3 linked regions of the Tamandua tetradactyla genome follow. The protein of the gene in region 2 purifies or fractionates together with the protein of the main gene of each other region. This does not show direct contact. Links are inferred from orthologs where the notes say so. Each region holds a gene or a part of one and is shown on either strand. Other genes may lie near its edges.

Region 1 (8,009 bases), on a different chromosome or scaffold from region 2:
TATATACCACAGAGAATTGAAAGCAGCGATGTGAACAGATATTTGCATACAGATGTTCCTAGCAGCATTATTCACAAAAGTCAGAAAGCAGAAACAATCCAAGGGTGGTATCTTGGATTTATATACTCCAGAAAAACATGTTCTTAATCTTAATCCATCCCTGTGGGTGAATCCATTTTAAATAGGACTTTTTGATGAGGCTGCCTCGGTAAGGTATGGCCCAACTGAAGCAGGATGGGTGTCAGTCCTCATATGGAAACCTCATCAAGAAAGCCACAGAAAGAGAGAGTCATGGGAAGAAGCAAGAAGCTGTAAGTCAGCAGAATCCAGAAGAGACAGGAGAAGACAGAAAAAGCCAAGGACCAAGGATTGCCGGCAGCCAGCCCCAGAATGCCCCAGTCTTCAGGGAGAAAGCATTAGCCTTGCTCATACCTCGACTTTGGACTTCTAGCCTCGAAACTGTGCACCAATAAATTCCCATTTGTTTAAGCCAGTCCATTGCATGGTATTTGTTTTAGCAGTCAAGAAACTAACATATAAATGTCCATCAATGGATGAATGGATAAACAAAAGGTGGCTTATACATAGAATGGAATATTATTTAGCAGTAAAAAGGAAAGAATTTCTGATACATGCTACAACATTGATGACATACAGCATGTTGAGTGAAATAACCCGGCTACCAAAGGATAAAGATTGAATGATTTCACTTATATGGAATAACTAGAATATCCAAATTCATAGAGCTAGAAAGAAAATTACAGAGTACCAGGGGTGGGATGGGGAATGGGGAGTTAATGTTTAATGGGTACTGTTTAAAGTTTTGTAATGGGTGGTGGTGATTGTAGCACAGTGAGTGTAATTAATGCCACTGAACTGTATTCCTGCAAGTGGTTAAAATGGGAAATAGTATTGTCTCCCTTGGCTAAAACTGCTGGAATGCAATATACTAGAAATGGGTTGGCTTTTACAATGGGATTTATTAGTTTACATATTTACAGTTCTAAGGCCATGAAAAGGTCCCAATTAAGACATCAACAAGACAATAGCTTCTCTGAAGAAAGGCTGCTGACATCCTGGTTCCTCTGTCACACGGGAAAGCACAGGGCCAGCGGCTGCTGATCCTTCTCTCCCGGGTTTCACTGCTTGCAGGTTCTGGCTCTTTCAGTTTCTGTGTGTCCTTTCTTGTTTCTCCCAGAGCTTTTCTCTCCAAGCCCTCTTGGTATTTCTCTCTTTGAGCTCTCTGGGCTTTTCCTGTCTTTTTTCCTCTCATAAAGGACTCCAGTGAAGGGTTAAGACCCACCTTGAATGAGCCGGGTTACATCTAAATGGAAACCACCTCACCAAGAGATCCCACCCACAATAGGTCTGCCCCTACCAAAATGGATTAAATGAACTTGGCTTTTTCTGGGATACGTAACAATTTCAAACCAGCAGAGGTATGTTACTACAATAAATAAATACTAACCCCCCCCATAGAACTGTACAGTACAATGAGTGAATCCTAATGTAAACTATGGACTTCAGTCGATAATTTAATATAATAATATTGGTTCATCAATTGTAACAAATGTACTATGCTAGTGCAAAATGTTAATAATAGGGAAAGATGCATGAGTGAGGGTAGAATAAGGATTTTTCTGTAAACCTACAACTCCTTTAAAAAATAAAAATAAAATTTAAGAAAACTTAAACAAAAGCTATTGAATAAAGGCTATAATCAAAGGTCAAATTCTGGCTTTCCTATGAATTAACTCCCCTTCGGGAAGGGCCAGAGGAAGGGAGGTCAGAGGCCAAGGTCCAGAGGAGGCTGTGGACTCAGGCAAATTCCTTAGCTTCTCTGAGCATCAGTTTGCTCATTTATAAAATAGGGTAAAGAGCATTTATCTCACCTAATTGTGGGTGCTAACTAGTGCCAGACACACCACATCCTCTCTTGGGAATTTTACAGGCTAGTGGGACATACGTGACATCTTGAATGCCTGCCTCCACAGTCTAGCGATCCGTTTGGCGTCCCTAGAATGCTCACGCCATGCTTTCCAACCTGGGAAAAGCTGTGCAGGGCAGTGAGTACCTGGAACCATCAGATGCAGCTCCCTGGACTCACTGAACTTATTTGCACTTGTGATTTGGGCACTAGCATGGGCAGAACTACAGAGGATCCTCTGGGTTGAGTGAATGAGTGTTTATAGGTGGAGAAACTGGGGTGCAGAGGCTGGCAGGCCCTGGCCTCTCCATTCTGGCTCGGGTCCTCTCTGGCTCACAGAGTGAACCTCCTGTCATCAAGGAGGCCTCTGGTCTGCTCCTCTCATGCTCCCTGTCTCCCGCTCCCTGTCTCCCACACCCAGCAGGTGACTTCCTCTCCTCCCGCTGTGGGGGTGAGGTTGGAGCCCAGAGGCCAAGGAGGGAGGGGGGTTCTGGGCCCTAATCCACGCTCTCTTGGCTCCTAACATTGCTTTGACCCTGACCTTGGACCACCCTGCCTGCCCATTCCTCCCCCTCCCCCAATATGGACATAATTACAGTAATTATGTTGAACGATACTGGGATATCATTACTCAACTATATATATATATATGTATATATGAACATAATTACAGGAGATGTTTACAGACCTGCAATCACATCAGAGTAAATTACAGCTTCCTTTTCTCTCAGTAATACTCCGATATTAGGGATCCATCAGGGTCAATTAGACCAAATCCCAGCAGTGACCTGAAGGGAAGACCTCACACTGCAAAGCAGTCAGGGACCTTAGGCAAAGAAGGATGTCAGCCAGCATTTCACAGGACACCAAGGAGCCTGGAGAGAGTGGCCTAACATTTACTGGGCACCTACTGCATGCCAGGCACTCGGGGAGTTCAGCAAACACAAGTGAGTGCTTTCAATCTAGGAACAACTCCTAGGAACAATTCTCCAGGCTGGTATTAATATTCCCACTTTACAGGTTTGGAAATTGGCTATGACAGGGCTGATGTCCAGGGTCACCCCCGGCAGGTGGTGGAGCTGGGCCCGGGTGCTTTCGAGGCTAGACTGCCAAGCACGCAGCAGGCCAGCTCTATGTCCCCTTCCTGTACTCCATTTCTCCCCTTCTCACAGCTTCCTCTTCCTGGGCTGCCACTCGAAGCCCCGGCTCGCCTCCTGTCTCCCCACCCTTATCAGTTCTCCAGCGTCGACACTGCCTTCTCCTGCCCCTTCCTCCTCTTTTTCCTGTCCCTGTAGGGCTGTTCGTTATTATCTCTCCAGAAGCGAGGGAGGGGCTGGTGCCTAGGGCGAGGGCCCTGCCAGGCGCCCGGAGTCTCACCGACCCCTAACCCCAGCCACTACCATCCGGACGCCGCCAGGGGTTTGGCCCGGGGCTCGGCAGACCTGAGGCTTCCACCCACCGACACTCGCAAAGGCTGCCCCCGGTGTGCGCAAGAGAGTGCGCTCGCACCCACGGCGTGCGCACACACGCACAACTGCACAAAAACGTGCACACCCCTCTAACCACGCAAATACACTCTATAATAGGCCCGTGCACACAGCCGTACCCACGCACCCGCACCGGCACACACCCTCGCGTGCACACAGGCGCACGTTTACCCAATCCAGCGTGCTCCCTCACATACACACGTACACACGCACACAGAGAGGCATACAGCTGGACATATGCCCATGTATATCCCCAAATGCCGACCTCGGAGCCTTGACCCGTACCACCGCCCTGCGCTCGAGCCTTCGCGCACACACACAGAGGCAGACACAGGCACAGACAGACAGTCACATTCGCGCGCGCGCGCGCGCACACACACACACACACACACACACACACACATACACGCACGCACGGTTCCACGCCCCTGGCCGCTGCCCTGGCGCTGCGCGGCGCAGCGGGGCGGCGGGCGGGGACCGGGGGCGGGGGCGGGGGCGGCGGCGGCGGCTGCGGGTCGAGCCGAGGAGGCGGAGCAGGGAGCCGGGAGCGGGCTGGCGGGCGCTCCTCCTGCCGGCCGGGGATTTTCCAGGCTGGACGCTGACGCCGCGGACCTCCCTGCGGCCGCCGCGGACCATGGGCGACAAAGGGACACGGTGAGTGCGGGCGACGGCCCGGCCCGGCACGCGTTTGGCCGACCTGGGCGAGAGCTCTGGCGGGGCCTCGAGTCCGCGTCCTGGCGCTGCGTTCGCGGCCACCCGAGGACTGCCGTGGTCTGGCTCCCAGCTCTCCTCCGCCCGAGGTCTTTCGTGTGGTCCCCGGGAGAGGCCGTGGGCCAGGGTACCCAAAGGGCGAGGACAGGTCGGCCCCACGCCGGAACACACTCACACACACTCACTCCTTCGCAGACACCCAGCACTGGCGGGCAGACGCAGGGACTCACGGGGGCAGGTTGACACACAATGGCACACACACTCGTGGGTACACAGGGCACACTCATTCTCGGGCGATCTCATGCCGGCACACACACTGACATTCACGACCAGACATTCGTCCCATACAGTGACACCCTTGGTGCACACACCAGTATACACTCATTGTCAACATATTCATACTGTTGGCATCCACGGGTACACACGCCAACATACCCCCATGCTGGCACATGCATGTGGGCGCACACCGGTATACATAGTCTCTTGCATTAATTGTCATAAACACTCCTGCAGGCACACACACAGTGTTACCTTCGCTGACACGCTCACTTGTGCTGGCACATATCTCACCAACACCAGACCACAACAACACTGACCCATGCAGACACACATCAGAATAACACCCACACAGACTGGCGCCCCGTGGGAACAAGCTAACAGATCTCGGGACTGCTGACCCGCTCCCTCCAGTCCCCGCACGGTGAGACACGGAAACACACACACACACACACACACACACACACACACACACACACACACACACACACACACACACACGGGGTGGGGGAGCCTGGGGAAAGCAGGATCCATGGGCTCTATTTCCTTTCCCTTTGGTTCCCGAGGCCTGGCGTGGCTGGCCAGGATTTGTTTTGAGCTGGAGGTGGGGAAAGGGGCTCCTGTCTTCTGAGCAGCCTGCCCTGAAAGACTTTGACTGGAAAGGGAGTGGCCATGCTTCTGAAATGGGAAACTGGGGCAAAAGGGGAGAGGATGCAGGGGCAAGGCGACCCGCAGAGACTGCTCCGTGGGACCCAGACAAGCCCCGGTCCGGTACTCACCTCTGTCTCCCTGGTTCTGTCCTTAATTCTTCTCACCCCCTTAAGTTCTGACAGAAGCCCCTCCCTTGTCTCCTCCTCTTACTGCTTCTGCAAGCCGCTCTTTCATTTGTTTCTTTCTTTATCTTGTCCTATCCTTGTGTTCCTTGTCTCTGATCTCCCTTCTCCTTTCCCTTGCTCCACCCTACCCCCTCTCTCCTTGTTTCCAATGATCATTTATCGAGAGCCTACTATGTACAAGGCATAGTTTGGAGATTGAAGATGCACAGGCACATTTTTTCCCTGAATGTGCTAATAGACTGGAGAGAAATGGCCCTGTCATGGTATTTTGGGACCACCATCAAAGTGATTTCTCACCCACTGCCATCTGAGATTCTCTCAACAGCTGAAAAAGGTGCTCCAGAAATCATTTCCAATTTCTGGAAGAAGACACCGAGGCTCAGAGATAACATATCCTCTTAACATTTACAAACTGTTCCCCAGCCATCCTCTTGACGGCTCTGGAAGGTTAATTTTCCTCTTCCTGTTTTCTGGTAGAGGAACTAGAGCACTGAGAGGCCACCTGACTTGCTTATGGTTAAGAAGGGTCAGAGATAGGGCAAAAGCTGGAACCCCCTTGGTCCATTTTTCTGTGGCTCACTTTGGGCACTGCCAAGTCCCTCAGGGGTCCTGGATTTGGGGGCCAGGGTGGGGTTCTCTGCTGTGTGCATGGGGGTTCCGGCTTTGTAGGCAACTGCAGAAGATCACGAGAAGCCTGCTTTCGACGCGATGGACGCTCCCTGTTTCAGCCAGCCTGGCCAGCCCTATGGCCCAGGTCTCTGCCCTCAGACTCCCTTCTGCGCCACGTGCATCTTCCCAGGAGCAAAGACCCTCTGAATGGTGAGGTCTGGCTTTCCTTCCCGAGGGCGGAGTGGGAGTCAGGAGCCACGGCTCCTCTCCTCTGCTGCTCCTGCCTCACCATCAGGGTGACTCAGCCCTCTTGGGCCTTGGTCTGCCTCTTTGCGTCTTGGGGAGAAGTGTCACTGGCTTGTCATGGATTGTCAGCAGGATGGGGCCACCAAGGGCAGCCAGGCCCCAAAGGCGTCTGTTGGAAATCCTGTCTCTGAGGCCAGGACTTTTTCCGTGACTCTCCCCTGATATTCCTTTAACTCACTGGGGGGACCTTGGGTGATTGCCTTCACCCTTCTGGACCTTGGTTCTCCCATTTTTCTTCCATCTCAGGGCTCTCCTCAGTTTACGGGATTCACTGGGCAGGGTAAGACTACTGCTTGCAGCGTGGAGCTCAGGACTGGCTAAACCCCTGCCGTCCCCCACAGGCACCCCTGCAGCCCCTGGAGGCCCCTCTCCACCTTTCCAGATGGGTTTCCTGAGGAATTTGGAAGAGAAGAGCAAAATAGATAATAGACTGCCTGGTTCTGTAAACCACGGGATTCTACTTGACTTATGACTTAGAAGAGGAAATTGCAAATATCTAATACTTTAAGCATCAGAAGTCATTGCATCCATCCCTCCTCCTTGAATCACACTCCCCCATTTGAAAGTGAAGACAAAAATTAATTAGAAACTGCCACTGGCCTCTCGGACTAAATGGGAAAGAGGGGATGAGACAGTGCCTCGATGGTACCGTACAGGCAGGTACACACTGGGATCAAGCCCACATTCAGTCGACAAATGCTGACTGAGTGCCTTCTGGGTACCAGGGGCTGGGGCTCAGACATGAAGGACTCTACTGTGCCCCCAGAGGATTGAGGGCAGAGCAGGTGATTATAATGCAGGGTTACATGTGTTGGGGGATGCCTAAGAAGGAGTCCCCAATCCTGCCCTAGGCAGAGGGCATGATACGGGAAACTTTCCTGGGAAGGAGGCGGTATTGGAGCTACTGAGCTTCAACTGGAAGGATGAGGGGCCCGGGAGGCGGAAGTCATTCCTGGCCATGGGTGCAGAATGTGCAAAGGTTTGGAGGCATGAAGCAACACCCGTGGTCTGGTGGTTGGGTTAGCTATGATAGATGAGCTGTAAGAGGTAAACACAGGCCAGTCATCAGCAGCCTGGAACGTCAAACAAGGGAGAGGGATTTTCTCCTGAAGTCAGTGGTGAGTCAGAGAAGAGTGTGGGGCAGGGGAGGGATGGGAGTAGATATTTGTTTCAGAGACATGCGTTTGGCAGTAGCAGAGAGGGTAAGTGGGAGGGACCGGCCTGGAAGCAGGAAGACCAGTGAGAAGCCTGGGACAGGCCTGAGAGAAGATGAGATCTGAACTGAGGCCCAGGTGGAACTGAGAGATATTAATAAAGGGGTGGAACCCATCAGCCTTGCTGGTTGACTGGACCTTTGTTGGGTCCCTGGTATTTGTCCGGAGATTTATATGCATAATCTCATTTGACTTTCCCAAAGATACTCCTAAAGTAGGGATTGTTATTCCCATTTTGCAGAGGAGGAAACTGACTAGGAGAGATTAAATAACTTGTCCACTGGCATTCAGCCATTGAGGGTTTGAGCCCAGGCCTTTCTGCCTTCGAAGTCCTCTCTGCTGCTCCACACATTCAGCCAGGAGGGAGGCTTGTCTGGCTCACAGCTGGCCTCCCCCAGAAGTCCCCAGCTCAAGTTGTGCATTGCTTCTGGGCCTTGCTGTTTCTACTAACTCAGTCGGCAGCACAAAGGATCTGATTTAGACAACAGGAGGGACTTCCTGAGAGGTAATAGGATAGAGTGGAATTTCTTTCCTAAGTTTACATACTCTTTTATCTTTTTTTCTGGGAGAGTAGAGGGTAAGTGTGATAGGGACACATAATCACCAGCTCTACGTGAACCTTCACTGTGGTCTCCCTTGGTGG
Region 2 (7,673 bases):
CTGAAACTCTGAGCAGCTCTGTGACACTTAGGACCCAGAAATGGAGAGCTACAGCCCTGAAAGTTAGCATCATTATACAAAATAACAATTAAAGTAACTGAAAAAGAGATCAGGCCTCAATTAGAGTGTAAAATAAAGCCAGTCTGGCTGGGTCTAAGGTAAATGAGATTACAGGGTAAAAGATGATACTGTATGCACTCTAGACCTTCACCTACTGTATGAGACCAAAGGCAGAGAGGTTTATTATGTCTGGAACCTAAATTTTCTATAACACATCATCTAAATCAATCTCTCTGGATAGCTCATTTAAACAACTCAAATTCCTGGAGTCCAGAACGTGAACGAGGCCTTGTAATTCCATATAACTTAATACAATACCAGGACACATTGCAGACTATGGTGGGCTGATAATTAAAAAGTGTTGGTAGAGTCCCTTGAGGGTCCGAAGGGAAAAAAACATATAAATATACATATGGTACTGTTAAACTCTCCCATCTGAGAACCCCGGGTACCCTTCCAACCACTGGGGACTCTCAAGAAAATAGGCCAATACCTAGATTTTGAGGCATGCCCTTAGGAAACTTAATTCTAAGCTTCAGCTAAATAGTACTAACGGCCATGGTTTATCCCCCAACCAACATTACTCCTGTTGACTCTTAAGAATACCCAGAGTGCGAACTGACTCTATAAAACTTCCATACACTAGGTTAGCCTTCTTGGAACATATAATCCCAGCAGGGTTGTTAGGTCAGTTAAATTCTGAAACTCAGATGGACCAGCCTCTCTAGGATGATCAATTTAATTACATTCCCCTCTCCTTTAGTGTGGACACCCCTTCTCAACATGAAAAAATCAGAATGGACATTGCCCAGAGATCCCTATAGATTGAGAGGATTAAAGAGAAGGAAGAGATATAACAGAGAAAATGGGATTGCTGACTGCTGAATCACTATATTAATATTCCTTCTAGTCTCCAGCATTTTGGAGCAGTTAGAAGGAAAAATCTGAGATAGTGAAATGGTAGCCCATGATAAACTCTGGGATCTGTTCTGTAACTACTTGTTGAAGTGTGCTTTGAAAATTATTGCTTTTTTTCCTTTCTTTACTTTGCATATATGATATATTTTACAATAAAAAAGTTTAAAAAAAATACCCAATCAGTGCAATGAAAATAGGTTCCAGTAAATAGTCAGATGCTTTTCTCCCTTATCTTCAGTTCTTTGAAGCTTCACTGACATCTTCCAAATTATAACTTAAAGATGAGAGTGCTATAATTTTAGAAAAGTTATGTTTATATAATTTTTGTAATAAGCCACCCAAAGACCCAAACTATTATACATAATATACAGTCAAATTCAGCTATGAAGCTCAAGATTGGAAAAAAACGCCAGAAACAGAAAGCCCCACTTTATTTAGTCTTGCTTCCTTCCCATGAAGTTCTTCTTGTTCTTAAAATATTCGGCTTTGGCTGAATTTCAAGCCTGACATATGCCTACTTCAGGTGTTTTGAAGAGACTAAATAGAATCTGAACCGAAAAACAAGATTGGAATATAAAACCTTTTAAGAGTACAAATGCAAGAAACTTAGTGTTGTGAAGTCATCATTAAATCCAATTTTCCCACCCATGATTATAAAAATAAGTATGCATATATTCTCAACATTGATTGTAAAGGATCCTAAAAAATCCACTTCAATAGTATGGCATTATTTCCTCACACTTGCTAACCCATAGGTAATTCTTTTCAGTCACTGATATCGGCGATAGGTTGAAAAAGTAAATTTTTTTTTCATGGATTATGCTAGCAAACACTTTGATGGCCAATCAAATCTGTCGTCAAGATAGCATATCAGCTTTAGACTATGTGAAAATATTAACTATTTAACTTGAAAAATACCCATCATGATAGATGACGTCATAAATAACAGACCCTAATAAAGATATCACACCAGTTTAATGCAAATGACAAAGTTAGTACTTTGGGAAGTAATTATCTGAAAGTTCATATTGATATCAGCTGGGAAATTCAAAGCACTAAAACCTGCTGTTGGAAAAATGAGTTGGGAAAGGCAGGACTTGACCCGCGAATTCATTTAGACAGCTCTGCCCACAGCTACCTGTGATCCTGATGTTTTCTGAGCTCCCAAAACTGCACAGAGCCCGGCGAGCAACGGCGTCATCTAAAAGGGTCACAGGTAGATGCAGAGGGAAAACAGAGCCAAAGCCAAGGGAAGAGAGAGAGTCACTCAACGGAGGTGGGACAGGGGCAAAACTCTCGCCTTTCTCGAAGTTCTTCGAGACGAGCACATGGTGCCCAGCGCTGCCGCGCAGACCGTGGCCGGGCGCGTCGGGCTCTTGCACAAGTGCACGCCGGCTCTTGCACAAGCGGCGGGCACCCGGGGCATACACGCAGCGCCACTCGCTGTCCCCAAGGTGGGGGAAGATGTCAGTGAGCAGGAAGCTCGCTTCCTGCCCAGCAGAAAATAAAAATTGTCCCCTCCGGTGTGTGTGGGGGGGGGAGGCAGGGGGTAGGCGCCGCGCGGGGAAAGGTGGCCAGCGGCCGCGACGACCGGGAGGGGTGACACACGCACCTGCATTGTAAAAGCGGTCCAGCACCGTGGTCTCCCCGAAGTCCAGTTTGCCAAAGTGCAGGGTCTCCAGCGTGGCGCCCACCGCCTCGCACGCCTCCCGCAGGCTCTGCAGGGCCTCGCTCTCGGCCACCACCAGCTGGCCCTGGCTCGCTTCATTGATCACGTATACCACCGAGGTGCGGCGACCGCCCGAGCCCCCGGGGTTGCCCCGGCTCCGAAGGGCGCCAGCGGCGGGACAGCCGGTGCCCGGGGCGGCGGCGCTCTCCACGTTCCAGAAGCTGCCCGCGGGCGGCAGCGGCACGTCGTCCTCGCTCTCTGGGGCCGCTCCTCCCCGCCGGCCGCCGCCGCCTCCGCCGCCGCCCTCGGCTGGGACGCCGAAGTCCGAGGGACCGAAGGGCGGCACGGAGAAGGTGATGCCCTCTCCCGCCTCGGCGCTCATGTCGCCCGGCGGGGTCGCGGGGGCCGCGCCGCCCCGTCCCGCCAGCCGCAGCTCGGGGCTGCTACGCGCCCGCCGGGCTAGGGCGCTGCCATCGCCGTCCCCGCCGCGCCGCCGCCTGCGCTCGGGCGCCCTGTCCCCCGCGGGGACGCCCCTCCTCGGCGCCTCCGTGGCCGCGTCGCCTGCCCGCCGCCGGGCTCAGAGGACGAGGGCGGGGAGCCGGGAGGGCTGGGCGCGCAGGAGACGGCGCCTCCCCGGCCCGGTGCGCCCCTGCGTGCGTGCCAGCGCCGGGCCCTCGGGTGCAGCGCTACCTGGAGAGCCCGGGCGCGCGGGCGGGCTCGGTGCGCGGCAGCCCGGCCCTGAGGCCGCCCAAAGGACCCGCCTCCCTCCCCGGCAGCGGCCGCCCCGCATCGGCTCTATTTCCTCCTCCTCCCCTCGCCTCGCTGTCTTCCGATCTCGGCGCCGAGCGCCAGCCTCGCCGCTGGAGTCCCGCCGCCCACTCGTCGCGGCGCAGAAGTCCGGGCGTCCCGGGGGAGGGCGCTGCCGGGAAGCCCAAGGCCGGCCGAAACCGAGCGGGCCGCCGGGACCGAGTCCCGTCCCCGAGGCCCCCGCCGCCGCCAACCGGGCCCTGCCAGGGACGGCTGGGGGTGGCAGATCTCTGAGCGCACGGGGCCGCAGGATGGCGCAAAAAAGTCTCTCTCGCCACTCCCTGGGCCCCCGAGCCGGCCCCGGCAGTACTGGCAACGATGCCCGCGCCCGCGGCGCCCCCCTCCGGCGCCCAGCGGACTGGCTCCGCGGGTCTCCCGGGCCCGCGCGCGGCGCCTGCGGCAAGGCGGGAGGAGTGAGTTCACACGCGCCCGGCAGCTCGGGCCCTACCCGGACGTCGGTGTTGGCGTGACGGTAGCACGCAGTGGCCGGCTAGAACTAAATTTACCAAGTCGGCCCCTGGTACTCGCTGTCCACTCAAAATTTTTCCTTAGTGTGCTTGCAATCACTAGTAAGTCCCTGATAACTCCAGATGCTGAACGAACTATTCTCATTTAGGATCTGGAAGGGTCCCCTCAAAACACCATGTACTTAAGATCCACCGACTCGGCAAGTGATCATCTGCACCCTGGAGGAAAATTAGATGACCTATTCTATTTTATTTCCCCTCAGTAAAGTGCCTGGATTGTGAAAGAGCCTCAAATAATAATAATAATGTTAAAGCACCTGCTCATTTGGGGAGCAAAAACGGATGTGTAGGGCAGGCCATGGTGGCTCAGCAAGCAGAGTTCTCCCCTGCCATGCCAGAGACGTGGTTCGATTCCTGGTGCTTGCCCTTGCAAAAATAAACAAAACAAAAACGGATGTGTAAGACAAAGGCTGTGTTCTCTGAGAACTTCTTCAGAATGCTGTGTGTGTTAGGACAGTCAGTGAAGGCAATAAAGTCATGGGTTTTGGACTTCCCATCTCAGGAACAGAGATTAGTGAAGCATAGTGTCCTATGAAAAAGGCAGAAGGAAATGTGAATTACATTACATACCTGAACATAAAAACAAAACAATTGAGTAGTCAAGCAATAAAGTAAGGAAGAAAATAGTATTTATGAGAATCTAGAAGCTAGACAGTTGTGTCCACGAGGAAGCAAAGTGAGGTTAGATTTTTTTTAAAGGCATGTAAAATGACAGGAGTGAATTTTTATTAAAGAAACTTTATATTCTTGATATCAACTAGTATCTAAATGGTCCACATTCAACTTTAGGAAGTAACGCAGATATTGAGTGAATCAGCGATAGTACTAAAACAAAAGGTTGATGGGCTACTAACAGATATGTATCTTTTAATACTTCCAACAACTTGCCAAACCTCCAAATTCCTGTGAGTTGATGATTCTCCACCTGTTGATGGCCAAAAATACTTAACTGGAAATTCATTAGGGCCATTCTAATAAAGTCTAAAAAGGCTACTGTCATCAATTATGCACAATTTCACATAGTTCACATTATGACTGAAATTCTGGATCTGCATGTAGTCAGGGGAACCAGGCTGAGGGGGCACATGGGCTGCTGAAACTCAGCCCTGCTCAGCTTGCCAAGCCTGGGTCAGAGTGTGGGTCTGGAGAAAGGAAAACATTTTCTCATTGAACCACCCACAGGGTATGCATTTTGCAATTTGTGGGTCTAAAAGGAACACCTTTTTCTAGTCCGAAAGGACAACGTATATAGAAGTGATGGACACAAGCAAAATTACTTTCTGCCTTGGGCTTTCTACATTGTTCTTGAAGAGGCAAAATTGAATTTTAAACCTGAAATGGGCAAGGGCCTCCTAGCTAACTCGGCTTTATTTAAACAAAGAAAGTTTGCTTCCTGCATTGCGTCTTCAGATGAGATAAGTGAGAATCCAGTATATTCTTAACTCGGAAAAGTATTTAAGGTCACTTATAAAATAGGGTAAGAAAAATTTTTAATTATCACAAGTTAAAGAAGCCAGTAAAAGAAGTACCAAGCACCTGGGATAAATTAAGTTCAATTGATTGCTAAACTTCACTCTGGGTGGGATTTTTCAGCTGTCAAAATTAAACACACACACACTCAGAATTACACATATTGATAGGAAGAGTCCAAACTTTTCCTGACATTGAATTCTAAAAAAGAAATTTTATGACATCAAATTGAGTTTAAAGAACACTGGAAATACTACATAATTGAGTGTGGATTTGTAAAAATATATGTGTTCTTCAAAATTTTTATTTACTATTTGAAAAAACAGGAATATATTAAGTATTAATTCAATGAAGGCATTTCAGAAGGAATCTAAAATAACATAAATCAGAATATAAATAATACTAATAAATATAAAGAACCTAAGGGACTGGATTTCTCATTGCAAACCTTTAACTTGGCATTCTGGTTTGGGATAAAAAAAGAATCCAGGAAAATTGAGTCTATTCCTTAGACTCTACCACAAATAGCAGGCAACTCTAGAATCTCTTAACAAGGATTATGATCACCATCAATAAATGATAGAACTATATCATAATCTATGATATGTTTACACTTAGGAAGGCATAGCAGCAGAGCGGAAATTTTCTGGTCAGAAATAGAGTCCACCCACCACCACTTGGAGAAGGGATTCAGGACTCCTTTGAGAACGACTGCAGGTATAGTAAAGAGTTTCCCTCATAAAGAGCTGGAGAGATTTCTACTTCTGGATAATGATAGATTGGATCATTCTGATCAACCCTTGCACTGCAGAAAGCAGATACAATTTTAAATATATACATAAAGATGTCAAAGAACTCACAAGACAATAAGGAAATATTTGTCCAGATTCTGGAAGAGCAGACAGGGATCCAAATTCTAGAAGAGACAAGGACCTGATTCTGGAAAAAAGGGCAGGAATCAAGATTCCAGAAGACACGACAGGGACCAGGATGATGGAAGAGAGGACAGGGATGCAGATGCCAGAAAAAGAACAGAGATCCAGATTATGGAATAGGGGACTGGGATCCAGATTCTGGAAGGGAGTACAGGAATCCAGATTATGGAATAGACAACAGGGATCCCATATCTGGCAGAGAGGATAGAGACCCAGATCCTGGAAGAGATGACAGGGATCCAGTGAGCCCACTCAGGGCTGTTTCAGGCCTGTGTGTTTTTATGGGTCTGGATCAGGCAGCTGAGAGGCTGCATTTTTGCCAGCAACAGGAAGGATGAAATTAAGGATGACACCCAAGAGAGCCTCTTTTGTTGCTCAGATGTGGCCTCTCTCTCCAGCCAATATGATGAGCAGTCTCACCACCCTCCCCCTCTCTGCGTGGGACATGACTCCCAGGGGTATGGACCTTCCTGGCAACGTGGGACAAAGATCCTGGAATAAGCTGAGACTCATCAAAGGACTGAGGAAAACCCTAGAATGAGCTGAGAATTAACATCAAGGGATTGAGAGAAACTTCTCCGCCAAAAGGGGGAAGAGTAAAATGAGACAAAGTGTCAATGGCTGAGAGATTCCAAACAGAGTCTAGAGGTTATCCTGGAGGTTATTCTTATGCATTAAGTAGATATCACCTTGTTGTTCAAGATGTAGTGGAGAGGCTGGAGGGAATTGCCTGAAAATGTAGTGCTGTGTTCCAGTAGCCATGTTTCTTGATAATGATTGAACAATGATATAGCTTTCACAATGAGACTTTGCGAATGTGAAAACCTTATGTCTGATGCTCCTTTTAGCTACTGTATCAACAGAAGAGTAGAACATATGGAATAAAAATAAATAATAGGGGGAACAAATGTTAGAATAAACTCAGTTTGAAATAGTGGTAAATGAAAGCGAGGGGTAAGGGGTATGGTACGTATAGTTTTTTTTTTCTCTATTATCATTTTATTTCTTTTTCTAAATCGATGCAAATGTACTAAGAAATGATGAATATGCAACTATGTGATGATATTAAGAATTACTGATTATATATGTAGAATGGAATGATTTCTAAATGTTTTGTTAATTTTTTTAATTAATAAAAAAAGTTAAAAAAAAATAAGGATGACATACCATGGAAGTGAGCATGATCTAGAAGGAAAATTGCCCTTATGTAGGCAGCAACCCTACCCTCAGCCATTTGAGTAAACCAGAACAAAAAACATCCAAACTTGAAATGTGGATTAAGTTTTG
Region 3 (7,241 bases), on a different chromosome or scaffold from region 2:
TCTGCCCGGGGGACTCAGGTCGTCACAGGGCACAAGGAGCGGATGAATACAACTTGACCAACGTCACCCTGCAAGGGGCCAAGCTGGGGCTGGAGCCAGACAACCGAGCACCGCCCTGCTCCACACCTGCCTCCCAGCAAGGCTTCCCATGGCTCGGTTGCCCAGAGCAGTCCCCGGGCCCAGGGCGGTCCCCTGCCGCCCCCACCTGTGTGTGAGCAGAAGGAAACGGTGCCTTGCCCAACAGAGGAAGTTCCTGGGCGGGGTTGAATGGGGGCAGGAGGGGGAGCAATGCAGCCCAAGTCCCTGCAGGGGGCCACGCGCGCTGGGGGCGGGCAGGGCCTGCAGCCCCCTCCCACCGCAGCGGGCATGGCCTTCAGGCGCTGGCGGCCGCGGGCCCACTGGGTGAGTCAGCCCCACACAGCCCCACACTCAGCCCGGAGGCCACTTGCCGGCAGCCACCCCACACAGCCAGCTGGGAACTCAGCTCCCATCGGCCCCCACTCGGGCCGGGCTTCCTGTGCATTGAGGCGGGCGGCGGGACATCCCCTCGCCTCCCGCCTCCAGGCGTGGCACCGACAGGCCCCTGCAGGCCAGGGCTGTCAGCTACCCAGGGCTGCCCCAGGTGTCAGCCAGGACACAGCCCCGGGTTACAGTCTCAGGTAGGCAGTGGCAGCTGGACACGGGGGCTCCTGCCCTGTCAGAGAGGGAGTATGGGGTGTGCCTGGGAGCCTGGGCCCCAGTCAGTCCTCCAGGCCCAGGATGGGCACCAGGCAACGCAGAGGCGTGAGGGTGAAACACTTGGATAAGCTGGGGCCAAACACTCCCAGGTCTGCTGGAATTCCTCCGAGACGGTGAGCAGTAACCCCTGCGGGACCTGGATGGGATGGGGCGGGCATGGGGACTCCCCACTGGCCTCAGCTTTGCCTGTCAAATGGGTCGGGTTGCAGAGAGCTCGCAACGTGCCAACTGTGAAGGGCTGCGCACACAAGGCAGCTCCGTGTCTCACTGGTCTGGAGGAGACGCCCGCTGGCACAGGGGTGTGACCAGGGGAGGGCTCTCCCAGCAGGCTCAGCTCCAGCTGCCAGCACAGGAATGGGAGGTGGGGGCAGAGCTGGGAGAGTCCTCTGGAGACCCCTAACACCTCTGAGCCTCAGTCTCCTCTGTAAAATGGGGCTGGGTAGAGGGAATAAAGGAATAAAGGAGACAATGCACAGCACATAGGAAAAAGCTCTGAAGGCAGGAGCCTTATCATTTTTGGTGAGGGGGTGTTATGGCTCTCCTTCCCTGGACCCCAAGCAGGTTGGCAGGGTCCCTGGGCCTCAGGGAGATACTGGCCCTCCTCCCCACCCACCTCAAGCTGCAGATCAGCCAATACCCCAAGCTGCAAATTCATCCTGGCCCTCTCTACAGAGTGGCCCAGAGAGAGTAATGCCAGCCCTGAGGTTACACAGCACACGGGTCAAACAGTGCCCCCCCAGCAGTGCTGCCCCTCACACCCGTCACCCCTCTCCCTTCACAAGTCTGTAAGTGTAACTTTTATTTCAGCATGCAAGAATTAAAAAGGCCTCCAAATACGAACACCTCCACCAGAGAGGTGGCGGACCTGCCCTGGGGCGCACAGCACACCCATGACCCACCACACCAGTACCTAGCTCCAGAGTAGAGAAGCACCTTATTTACGACCCAGCGGTCTGTAAATACGAGGCCTGAGCGGCCGGCGCCCCGCCCCCGCCCCCGCGAGTGCCTCCCGGGTTACTCACCGCGGTTGGCCAATGGTCAGGGCTCCGGTGTCCGCTTACGTAAGACGCCAGAGGTACCGCCCTGTCCGTCCGCCACCGGCCCACACCCTCTGGGACCCCACGCGGCCTCCCGCCCGACCATGCCGTGAGGCCTGCCAGGCCGAAGCTCTTCCACAAGGACACCACCACACTCCAAGCCGCGGGCTCTGCCGAGCAGCTCATGGCAGCACCCATGTTTTTAAAAGCATTCCGTACCCGTGAGCTCACGTCACACTCGTGATGCGCACGCAAGAAGGTATGATTACGCCCGCTTTACAGATGGGGAAACTGAGGCCCAAGGGTGGTAAAGGGGCTTGCTGGGCCGAGGCGGCCCCTCCCCACAGCCGCGCCCGGTGTGGAGCCCTCTCATACCACCCCGCCTGCCCAGACTCTGACATGCCCAAAACATCCTTTCCTGTAACTGCGGGAAAAAAAATCCCCTTTCGCCTTCCAGGTTCCGTGCCCCCCCACCTCCCCATGACAAGTCCTGCCGCCGCCACAGCCGCCGGCTCACAGACCACTTCCAAAAACGCCCGGCGGGGACCCAGGACCGGGGGCGGCCGGACAGGCCGCAGTACGGACCCAAGCCCTGGACAGGGGTTGGAGGCCCTGGGCCCGCGAAGGACCGGGAAGAGAGTGCGCGGCCGGCGGGGGGACACCACCGTCTCCCGAAGGGACAGGCAAGCTTCCCGGCCGCGGCTGCAGAACGGAGCGCGGGGTCTGCGGAGACGCCCCACGCAGGGCAGCCGCAGATGCGGCAAAGTGGGCTCCAAACTGGTGGGCTGGGGCGAGCTGAGGCGCCCAGACCCCAGGACGGGGGAGTCCAGCGAGTTCCCCAGCAAGGGCGCAGACGAGGTAGGGGTCCGAGTTCGACTAGCCCGGAGACAGTCTGGGGCCCGCGGCGGGAGTCGACGGGGGTCACTGGGGGTCAGTGGGCCACCCGGCTCCTCCTGGCCCAGCCTGGGGGGCAGCGTGAGGCTCCCTCCCCACGCGCGCGGGGGCATCGAAACGAGGTGTCGGCCCGGGAGGCCTCGGCCAGGCAGCGGCCCCGCGGCCTCCGGGGGTCCGAGTGAGGTCGCAGGCTGGGCGGGGGCGGCCGGGGCGAGGCAGAGCAGGTCAGCCAGAGGGCAGGCCCGACCCCGGAAGGGCTCGCCGGCAGGCCCAGCCGGGCTCAAGCCGGGCGCTCGTACCTTTGGACGCGGGCACGCCGGCGGGGGTGCTGGAGGCGGGTGGCTCCATGGCGCGGGGAGCCGGCGGCGGGACTAAGCCAGGGGGCGGCGGGCTCGAGCGGCGCGGCGCGGGCTCATGGCTGCGGGCGAGCGGCCGGGCGCGGCGGCAGCGAGGCGGGGCGCGGGCAGCGCGGGAGTCAGACTGGGCAGCGCAGCGCGCCGGGCCCGACGGCGCCCGCCCCCGGCCCCGCCCCGCGCGCCGATTGGCCCGCCTGCCCCCGGGGCCCGCCCAGAAGCAGGACCCGCCCACTGCCCGTCAAGTCCGCCTCCCGCCGGGAAGCCCGGGCCCCTTCAGGCCCCGCCCCCGCCCGCATGCATCAGACCCCGCCCCGGGTCGGGGCCTCAGCGCGCGCCCCCATTTGCCCGCAACCCCAGTGGAGGCCGTACGTGGGCTGGCCCGGGGTGTGTGACCTGGAAAAGCTCTGAGAGGCCCCGGAGCATCGGGCGAGCCCCACAGGGACAGACGAAAGTGCCCCTGCGATGAACTCAGGTCAGACCCCGACTTCCCCCCTTCCCGGGGCGGGGGGCAAGACTGGGGACGACCCTGCGCCTCGGCCGCTGGCCAGGCCGGTCCACGTGCGCTGGCCGTGCTGTAGATGCCCGCGGGGTGGGTGCGGAGGCCCTGCCCGAGGTCTCACCCTGGCGTTCCCTGGACATTGGGTCAGCGCCGCTAAGACAGAGCATTCCCTCTGCGGCATTCCCCGAGCCTCTGTGCTCTGCAGCCCCTGGCCAGGCTGGAGTCGGGATCAATGACTCAGATGGAGAGTGAGGGGGGCTGGCTGTGGGCCCATCCGGGGCCTCCTTGGGGAGGGAGCAGATGCCATGACCCGTCGGTGGCACAGGGGCTGACCTCTGTAAAACAAGATGATCCCAGCGCCTTGCCCACACAGCTGTGAAAGAACCAGAGCAGATAAGGGGTGAGTGAGCCTTATAATTATCACCATTTGCTTCCTGCATCTCTTGCTCACCCTTTCCAGGCAGTGGGATGGAAAGTCATGAGATCTGGACTCAGACGGCACAGCTTCAAATCCCAAAGACCTTGGATGAGTCCCTGAGCAGGTCCGTGCCTCTGTTTACTTGTCTGTGCCATGGGGCGTTGAGGCCTTCCTGAAAGCATCCCATGCTTGGAAGTGCCTGCCTCAGAGGCCTGCTTGGCACGCACGCAGGCATGCACACACACACACATGCCCAGGAAATGTGAATTCATAACGACCTCCTACAGGAAGACACCCCGGCTTTACCACTCCTGGGTGTCCAAGTGGCCCAAAGCCCTCTGTCCCAAATGGACCAAGTGAGCCTGGCCTAGTCGTTTCACCTCATGGTCTTCTGTCCATCCCCTGGAAAATGGGCACCTGTGCGGCTCTCTTCCCACCAGGCATCAAACCTGGTCCGTTGGAGTTTCTTGGGACCAGCCCTGCCGGCCACTCTCTCCCCCTTGTCCACTCTGCTCCTTGGCATGTCCTAGGGCATGTGCAAGGTCCATGCCTAGAACATATCCTGCCCTCCTCCCGGGGCTCTGGGGGCTTCATCTCACGTAGCCCAAGTCACGTGACCCTCCCAGCCCTGTTCCAGTCTCTGCACAGCCCTGGCCACCAGTGCCTCACTTGCCGGCTCTGTTTGACTCCCACATCCCTCTAGAACATCTGCCCTCCTCTGCCCATCTCATTCCCACTGCAGAGCCCAAGGCTAGGCACAGAGCAGGTGCTGAAAGCTGGGGAATGGACACAGGGAGGACGGACAGAACACACAGACACCATCCAGGGACTCTTGTCCCACCCCCAGCCCCCACATGAATCAGATACAGCCCTGGCCTTCACAGAGTTAATGCATTAGTCAGGGAGCCTGACACATGGCTCAAGAATCACAAAACTCCATGTGGGGTGCTATAAATAGACACATGAGCAAAGCCCAGGAAGGTGCCACAACCCCAGCTGGGTGGGGTCAGGGAAGGCTCCTTGGAGGAGGTGACTTTGAGACCAGCCTTTTCAGGACCGTAGGAGCTTGCCAGGCCCAGAAGCAAGGGTAGGCACCTCTGAGGGTCTGCAAAGGGCAAGCTGGGAGGCATGAATGCCAAGAGCTGAGTGAGGGCCAGGCAGGGTTCATGAGCATCAGGCCAGGTCAGGCGGGCCAGGGGAGCTTCTAGTCTCCTCTTCCAGCACGGTTGACTGTGGCTGGGGTCTCGACAACCACTGGAAACCAGAAACTCCAGAGGGGCATTTGAAGTGGGTCCAAGTGGCCTCCTGCACTGAGGTCTAGAAAAATCCCAAACACCCCTCTCTATATCTGCAGGGAAAGTAAGACTCAGGAAGGGAGGGTGTGTGACCTAAGTCAGGACGTGGCGGCACCTGCGGTGACAGAGGGCTAGAGCGAGAAGATGGCCAAACCTGGATCCCGGCAGCTCAGTTATTCCTTTGGCCACCCATTCATTCGTTCATTCCGCATATATTTGCTGTGGGCCTGGCACTGCGGGTAGGCAGTGAGACACCACTTCCTGCCCTCTGGGAGGTGCGCTCTGGTGGGTGAGGCCGACAAGCAACATACACAAGTTAAATGACAGTGTCAGATGGTGGTGAGGACTTTGGAGGAAATTAGGGGTTGGGGGTTGTGCCGGGGCTTGGGGGCTCAGGAAAGGCCTCCCTGGAAGGTAAAGGTTAAGCAGCGATTCCCCCTGTGTGTGTGTGTGTGTGTTGGGGGGCAATAAGGTGCCTGGGGGTGGGGCATCCCAGCAAAGGAAAGGCCGGTGCAAAGGGCCTGCGGCGGGAGCAGGGCTACTTGCTCGGGAATGGCAGAGCCCAGCACGCTGCGGGGGCAGGCGACGGGACCCCGTCTCACCTCTCGGTCCCCCTTGCATACGTGTTCACTCACACCCCTTCCCCACGCGTGCCAGCCCACGCGCCCCAATGACACGCGCGCGCACTCACCCACACAGGGCTGCACGCGCGTGCTCAGGCTTGCCGAGTGGCCGCCCTGGCGCGCGCACGCTCCCATGCGCACGAGCCGGCCCCGCCTCCGCGGGCGGCGCCTCCACGGCGCCCTCTGGCCACCAGGCTCGGCACTGCGGGCGGCCCCCCAATCCCGCGGCTGGACCCACCCCGTCAGGCCCCTGCCTGACCTGCCCTGACCTCAGCCCGCCTCCGGGCCGTACACACCGCACGAAGAGAGTACTGCCCACAGCGCTGACTGTTCACCCCTGCCATGGCGTCTGGGGGAGAAACTTCCAGCACTTTGTCCTTCACCCTCGGGGCCCCCCCAACCTCCGCAGACGTCCACCCGAGGCGGCCCCAACCCCGCCCGTCCTGCCCCCAGCCCGCCCCCGAGCCCCCACACCCCAGCCTTTGCTTGCATGGGCGGTTCCCTCCTCTGGAAATGCCCCTCCCTGCCGCCACTTGAAGGCCTGATTCCAAGGTCAGAAGTGGGGGCTCCCTGACACCCTGCGTTCATCGCCTCTTGGTCACCCTCTCGATCAGCGCCCACCCGCCCGGCGGCCCCCCCCCCCCGTTAGACGCCCCCCCCCGAAAGCAGGGGCTGCTGCTGGCTCCCCCACCCGGGCTGGAGGTGGCACTTTGTCCCCAGGAGCTTGGGGGCAAATGGGAGCCTTTTGTCAGGGGGCCGCGTGGAGGGCAAAGGCGGGAGGGCCGAGGGACAGCAGTGTACCTGCTTCACTCAGCCGGACCGCGCTCTAAAGCCTAAGGTTGCAGCCACAGGGGTCAGGATCATGTCATTGGAAGCAGCAGGGGCCACCTCTAAAGCCCCCACTAGGCGCTGATCCCCTCGCGGGCCCCGTGACTGCTGCATGGGGCACTGCGTCACCCTGAATCAGCTGTGGAATGGAGGAAAACATGGAACCACCCTGCTGCTGCCCATCCTATAATTATTTCCGTGTAACATGAGGAAAAGGAAGCTCATAGAAGGTGCCGGAACCTGTCCAAGGCCAGGCATACTGAGGCAGAAGCACCTAAGCAAACTCCAGCCTACGGGGCTGAAGACTCGGCCTCCCTTGCCTCCGCCTTCTAAGCGGCCTTGAAAGATGGGGAAACCTCTCATCTGAGCAACACAAGTCACCTTCAAGCTCACTCAGCCACTTTCCGGGAAAACGTCGGCTCTTTGCTCTGACAGCCCTGTGTCCCGCCCATCTGGGGCTCCCTGGGGTGACAGACCCCCTGAGGCTGCCCCCTGCTGGACAGTTACAGGCCAGGAGCAGAACTCCCCTGCTGCTGGAATCCTCCAGAATGTC

The links. The genes of interacting proteins can lie anywhere in the genome.
Region 1: the proteins of MAP3K5 (region 2) and ARRB1 purify together in Homo sapiens (affinity purification with western blotting; 3 studies listed by BioGRID and IntAct, with this or other methods). This does not show direct contact. The link is inferred for Tamandua tetradactyla from reciprocal best matches to the Homo sapiens genes MAP3K5 and ARRB1.
Region 3: the proteins of MAP3K5 (region 2) and MAP2K3 purify together in Homo sapiens (co-immunoprecipitation; 4 studies listed by BioGRID and IntAct, with this or other methods). This does not show direct contact. The link is inferred for Tamandua tetradactyla from reciprocal best matches to the Homo sapiens genes MAP3K5 and MAP2K3.

The regions. Positions count from the first base shown.
Region 1 is NC_135334.1:70,220,006-70,228,014, forward strand, and holds the start of ARRB1 (beta-arrestin-1), read left to right. Parts: upstream 1-4,909; 5' UTR 4,910-5,982; coding exon 5,983-6,056; intron 6,057-8,009. UniProt on the Homo sapiens protein: Functions in regulating agonist-mediated G-protein coupled receptor (GPCR) signaling by mediating both receptor desensitization and resensitization processes.
Region 2 is NC_135351.1:37,024,165-37,031,837, forward strand, and holds the start of MAP3K5 (mitogen-activated protein kinase kinase kinase 5), read right to left. Parts: upstream 3,030-7,673; coding exon 2,591-3,029; intron 1-2,590. UniProt on the Homo sapiens protein: Serine/threonine kinase which acts as an essential component of the MAP kinase signal transduction pathway. Plays an important role in the cascades of cellular responses evoked by changes in the environment.
Region 3 is NC_135332.1:157,384-164,624, forward strand, and holds the start of MAP2K3 (dual specificity mitogen-activated protein kinase kinase 3), read right to left. Parts: upstream 3,101-7,241; 5' UTR 3,018-3,100; coding exon 2,969-3,017; intron 2,035-2,968; coding exon of another isoform or gene 2,019-2,034; exon of another isoform or gene 1,826-2,018; intron 1-1,825. UniProt on the Homo sapiens protein: Dual specificity kinase. Is activated by cytokines and environmental stress in vivo. Catalyzes the concomitant phosphorylation of a threonine and a tyrosine residue in the MAP kinase p38.